Linked DNA regions of Solanum lycopersicum. The protein of the gene in region 1 interacts with the protein of each later gene in a pairwise test. Links are inferred from orthologs where the notes say so. Each region holds a gene or a part of one and is shown on either strand. Other genes may lie near its edges.

Region 1 (3,855 bases):
TGATTTTTTTTAGAGTGAAATGATAAGAACTTCGATTAATATTTTACCATGATTTTTTTTATCTTATTGATATGCCAAAAAAATGCAATTTGTAGTACTTCTAGTATAATTTTTGAATATCTAATAATCTAATTTAACTTTGAAAATTAATCAAATTGACTTTTTAAAACACAACATGACAATTAAAAACGAACAGAGGGAGTATGAGATGAGTTTAATTAGGATTCGCTTGGACATGCGATACAAATTATGATTTGAAATCAGATTAATTTGAGATTAAACTTTTGTTTGGATGAGTAATTTATATTTCTCGGGTTGTGTTTTTTCTTATAAACATGAAAAAAAAATTCTACAAATTGTATAAACCACCGAAATTTCTCCCATTCTTATACAATCTTAGCAAAGAGTAAAAAATAATTCATAAACAAGAAACTATAACATCCTACGACGCCACATTAAAAAATTACATATCTCCATATATCTTTTTTTATAAATAGAATATTACAATTAAAATTTTTAAATACACAATTATTTTATAAAAATCCACTATTCAACAATTGTAATAACGAGGGAAAAGGTCTGAAAAATACTTCAATTTTGATCGAAATTGCTATTTCGATATGAAACTTTATGGAGAACCTTTTAACCTTCCCCACTCCTCCAAACTATTTAATAGTGTATTTTAAAGGTATATTTATGTCCACGTAGACACATTACTATTTATAATTATGTAATATTTTTATGTCCACGTAAATACATATATACCTTTAAAATACACTATTAAATAATGTAGGGGTAAAATGTCTTTTCTAAAATTTGATACTACAACAATAATATCAATCAAAGTTCAAATGTATTTCACATCATTTTCCCTAATAACTGATTATTATTTAATATAATTATTCTACATGTAACCGACAATATCTCACAACAAACATATATATATATATTCAAAATTTTAAATTCGGATGATTAGTCATTTATTTTAATTTGTACTACTACTATAGTTTGCAGAAAAGCAATAAACCCTTTTCTTTTTTTTTTCTTCTAACCCTAGAGTGGTCCTTGTGAGGTTAACAGTGTACCTTCCTTTCTTAGCATCATTAAATAGAATCAAAACTTAAAATTAAAATATGAAACTACTACAATAACTAGCTTCTTGACTAATAGACTGTTAAAAAAAAAAAACTATTCATGATGGAGTAGTCTAAATACGAGAAATTAAATTTCTATTACATTATTATTTGTAGCCTATGGACAAAGAATTATCGCGATTATATATACAAATACTATAAAAGTTTATATACACAGTAGATACATAATACTTAAAACTTTACATTTTTCTCAACCCTAGAATTGAATTACACACGAGTAAGCGCCACGTGGCCTTCTACTTTCCTCTTTTGAGATAATATTATAACATAGTGAGAATCTAACATTGCTTCTTTTTCTACAAACCATAACTTATCCTTGTAAATTTATTCTCTCTTGTTTCTCTTTTGGTCAAATTTTGTCCATAAACTCATTTTTTCCCCCAAGCCTTGGGAGAAATTATTATAAAAGAAGTTAAATGTTATCAAGAGTTGTTAATTCCATGTTGAGATTTTGCTAGCCACTCAAAGATATATATACAAGTTGTAGTTTATCTTCTACAAAACCTAATTATGTAAGTACAATTCATGATTCTTATAGTAGTAATTGTTTATACAAAATTTTAAACATCTATTTTTTTAGATCTTAGTCATTTTTACAAAGTCTTGGGTGTTTAGTGAAATGATTTTGGAGGTTACCCTAATATTAATCACAACTCCAATTTTCCCCCAAAAATTGCACTATGTACACAAGAAAATTTCCATTGATGGAGTTTTTTTTTTTTGTGTGTATAGTATAATTTGATAATATTTTATCTCGATCTAATAGATGCTTAATATTTTTCTTTGATTTTTACTAGATCGATGCTGATGAAGAACGATATATGATATACATATCATGAATTCATCGAGTGGAAATAATTTTGAGACGAAACAAGAATCAAATAATGATAGTAGATTGGCCTCAAAGACGACTAGTGCACCACCATCGAGTACTTCAAGGCAATGGGGAGCTAATAAAAACCCAAGAATAGTACGCGTATCGCGTACTTTTGGAGGGAAAGATAGGCATAGTAAGGTGTGCACCATAAGGGGGCTTAGAGATCGAAGAATTAGACTATCAGTTCCAACTGCAATTCAATTGTATGATCTACAAGACAGGCTTGGCCTGAGCCAACCTAGTAAAGTTGTAGATTGGCTCTTAGAAGCGACTAAACTTGATATCGATACTCTTCCTCCACTTCCTGTACCACCTGAGTACTTCACTCGGTTTCAACAACCATCTCATGAAGAGTTCTCTGATGTCCGTGCTCAATGGTTGAACGCGAACACATCTTATTTGGAACATGGGAGGAACAAGTCAATCGCTTCAAATGAGGAATCAAATCAAGAGGATAATATGTTTACCTTAGGAAATCAACGATCATCTAATTTACCAGGCATGCCTTTCAATTCTTATAACTATCAATGGGATCATCAGCCTAATTCGAATTTGTCTTTAGGTCATTTTGGACATAATCATTCATTTTCATCCCAAATAGATGATGATCAATCTCATCAAAATACTAGTTTCCCTCTATCTTTGGGATCATCATCTTCGCCTTTTCCCTCGAGTTCTCAATTGTATTTCAATCCAATAACAACAACATTTCAACCTATAGTTCCATCTCCTAACTATATAACAAATCATCATCCCATTGAGAGTCATGATCCAAGGGCTAATATGAACCATTTCAATTTCTTAAGCTCAACTACTTCACACAATAATCAACTTGTGATGCCAACTCTTAATTTGATTAGTTCCCAAATGAAACCCTTTAGTCTCAATAATGATCCTAGATGGATGAGTTCCAGAGATGATGAAGATGACGATGATGACGATGATGATGATGATAATCAACCACATGAAGGTCGCGCAATTTGATTCTAAGCCAAGTGGAGGAAATGAATCTTCGTCTTTACTTCAAATATTTTGAATTAAAGTTGTTGTCCTGGATTATAATCATGCTACATTATTCCTTCTTCACAGGTACAACAAATAATTAAAGTGAATCATTCTATTTCTTATACCATATAGGTTTATAAAGTTTTAATCTCTATTCTGAAATATACAAATATTAATCTGTAGTTTTTTTTTTTGGGTGATTCAAGTGGTATAAATCTACATTATTATTGGTATTGGATTAACCTTTAATTTATACAAATTGAAAGTGTGTTTAGCATTAATTTTTTCAATTTTGTTTTTCTTGGATTTGCATCATTAATATGTCATGGTTTAACCGAAATCTCGATAGTAGAAACTCTAATCGAAGCAAAGGTTGGGTTTATTCTCGACTCTCACAACCTTAAGGTAATTGCAAATATGATGCAACAGATCTGGAACTATAGTTACGTAGTCAAGTCAATCAGTTGTTGTTGGTATCTTCTTCTCATTTTTCTTTATTTCATTATCAGAGCTCCGAGAAGTAAGAGATAAAGATGTTGAAGAATATAGTGAAAAATCCATAATAGGATCTAACCACAAAGTATGAATGATTTTAGCCAATAAAAATATTTTATAGAAGGTAAACGAAACTATTCAAGTTCAATTTTGTCATGTAAAATTGATACATAACATATCATGCTTAGCTGTGTACTAATGATAGACGTAATAACTAGTAATATAATTAATTACTCCATTAATTTGTTTTAATCTAACTAGAAAACAAAAAGTTTCTTTCATATCTAATTAGGTTTTTAGACGAATTAGTTGGAAAATAAGAGG
Region 2 (3,118 bases), on another chromosome or scaffold:
TCGCACATTTTCGAAGATCTTCAAATAGTTGTTGTACTTGTAAAATTCACGGGTCAACACATTATCAGTTTCTAGTAGGCAAATTGATGATTCTAGATCCACCAATGTTAATTTGAGGGAAATGTTCGCATGATGAATGATTCGCATATAGAAAAATTGTATATATTTATGTGACTATATGATAATGTATATGAGTTTATAATTAAAGAGATTTGATGTAGTAATCAATGAGAATAAATATTATAGCATAACATATTAGTAGGGATAATATATATATAGAATTGACATTGAAGATTAATATGATAGATCGTCATAGATGTAAATACAAAAATGGAACGATTCTCATTTGAGAAGTATCTACATAAAATTAACAAAAATCTACGTGTATTCTATCTCATGATTTCACCAACTCACAAATATCACAAACTAATAGAAAATAATTGTGTGACTATATAGTATATTGCATATAAGTATAATTATAATGATTTGAAATAATCATACAAAAGAATGAAATCATAATTTAACAATTAGGAACAACAAAGAATAATAAATCTTTCCAGAAAAAAATGATAAATACAAATCTGAATACTTCCTATATAATGACACGAGTCTCAATTCAATAGGAATCCTATAAAAATCAATAAAAATCTGAAATTATTTTCTAATATTTTCATGCGGTATTAACCTCTAGATCACACCCAAGTCATGAAGAATTTATCAATTGATTTTGATGGCTAGCAAATTAAGCAAAACAAATAGATAAATTCTAGGGATGAAGCAAAGGCAACAAGTCTCTACTAAATGCACTTGTATACCAATATAGCAAAAGTAGGACATTTATGGCCTTTGAAACACACTCCCCCCCAACCCACAACCCTCACAAAAATAGAAACTTCTTTTTGTTTATCTATTTATTTTTGAAAATAACTTGATCTTGTGGTCCCCCTCCCACAATAATTATTATTTTAGCTCGGAGCTGGAGTATAGTTTACGATACTTTGATTCATATCATATATTTATTTTTACAATTTTATAATAGTTGTTGTTAGATCAACAACTCAAACGACTGAGCATGTTGTTGTTGTTGTTAGACTAGTAACTTAAAAATGATTACTACAATCTCAACTTAACAAATTCTAAATCTCGGCTCCGCATTTTACTTTTATTAGAGACTCAATAAAGTTTGTAACACCCCCACCCCCTTCTTCCATTTGTCCCTCTATATATTGACATATATACATGTAAATATATATGTACGAATTGTGTATGTCATAATGTATATAACTTACACCTTTTCACTACCCTACGAAGATGTACTATTTAGCCTTCAAAGGCTTCACACAAAGTACATATTCATGAGCTTTGATTCAACTTTGCAATAAGTCACCTCCCTTTTTGCACCCCTCTTTTTTTTCTTTTTCTTTTTAATTACAATTTTTGGTTAAAGGGTTTCAATAAATATGAGAAAAATATTTTCATAATGACACAAAAAAAACACAATAGATATTCTTCTTCTTCTTCTTTCTTGATATATTCACCCTTTATACTCTTCTTACCATGGATATCAACCACATTAATAAACTCACTACCTCCACTTGGGATCCAACCATGTCCAATATGGACAACCAACAAGTCTTTCGCGATCAACAACAACAACAACAACCATGCTTGTCCAGTATACCAAACGACCATATCTACCACGAACATCATCATCATCAACAACAATTTCATTTCGAACATAACCCTATTTGGCCTAGTTTTCCTCTTCAAAACCCTCAACACCATCACCTTCCCTCCTCCTCAACCCAACAACAACAACAACAACAAGAAGAAGTAGTAGTTGTCCCTTTTGATCATGTGTTAAACAACCATGTTCAAACCCTAATAGAGGATCAAGAACACGATGATCAAGACGAAGATGAAGAGGAAGAAGAAGAGCTAGGAGCCATGAAAGAAATGATGTTCAAAATTGCATCTATGCAACCAGTAGACATTGATCCATCCACTATACGAAAACCTAAAAGGCGTAACGTACGTATAAGCAATGATCCACAAAGCGTAGCAGCCAGGCTACGCCGCGAAAGGATAAGTGAAAAAATCAGAATCTTGCAAAGATTAGTCCCTGGTGGAACAAAAATGGACACTGCATCCATGTTAGACGAAGCAATTCGCTATGTTAAGTTCTTAAAAAGACAAATCCGTCAATTACAATCATCGAATCATAACCTCCCACCAGCACAGATACCAGTATCGTCATGCCCTAATAATGAAAATTGGGCAAATAATATTGTCACACCAAGTACAAAAGGTCTGATTCTTGGCTCCTCTAGTAGTACTACAACCAATAATGTTACAACTTTTGTTGGTAACACTACATTGGATCCACCTTATGAGGTAATTGGTAATTAGTTAGGTCATATTATTATTATTATTATTATTATTATTATTATTATTGTGTAGTAATTGGAATTTTTAAGAATAAAAATATTATATATAGAGGAATAATTAATTATTTGTGTATAGTGGATCATGTGAATTGTGAACTAAAAAAAATAGGTTTGTTAGGATTGTGTTGACTTAAAGGGCATGATAATCATCACAACGGTTAGAGTTGAGTTACGTATGTTGGTATATACTAGTATATTAATAATTATAGAATATGGTTTTTATCTATTTATTTTTTCTGATCATCAAAAAGTTCGTTTGGCTGAATTCTCTCCCGGGAATAAAACAGTGACGTGAGAAGAAATTGAATATGATTATACTCTTTGGCCCACCTCACACACATTTATTTATTTTTTCGATTTTCAATTTGGTATCTGGGGGTCTGGTTAAATTTAGATTAGCGTTGGAAAATTTCATATTAGGATTTAGTGTTTCCTAATAAAGGTGACTCTGTATTCAGAAGGACTTGAACTCGAGACCTCTGATTAAAGATAAAGGAGTACTTACTACTCCACAACTACTCTTGCTGGTATAATCTCACGCACTTGTTTGTGCTCGTGTGCGCATGTTTGTACAATTTGTATTATGTATATGTATATTGAGTTTAATTTATATATTACACACCAAAAGTGTAAAGAAAATTATATTTTATGAAAGATTTCAAATCTCGTTT

What was found. The genes of interacting proteins can lie anywhere in the genome.
Region 2: the proteins of TCP4 (region 1) and transcription factor HEC3 interact in binary tests that used the Arabidopsis thaliana proteins (3 or more experiments, as listed by UniProt). The link is inferred for Solanum lycopersicum from reciprocal best matches to the Arabidopsis thaliana genes TCP5 and HEC3.

Annotation. Positions count from the first base shown.
Region 1 is NC_090802.1:61,726,854-61,730,708, reverse strand, and holds TCP4 (TCP transcription factor 4), read left to right. Parts: upstream 1-1,490; 5' UTR 1,491-1,666; intron 1,667-1,951; 5' UTR 1,952-1,989; coding exon 1,990-3,015; 3' UTR 3,016-3,198; downstream 3,199-3,855.
Region 2 is NC_090810.1:1,211,195-1,214,312, forward strand, and holds transcription factor HEC3, read left to right. Parts: upstream 1-1,423; 5' UTR 1,424-1,557; coding exon 1,558-2,409; 3' UTR 2,410-2,520; downstream 2,521-3,118. UniProt on the Arabidopsis thaliana protein: Required for the female reproductive tract development and fertility.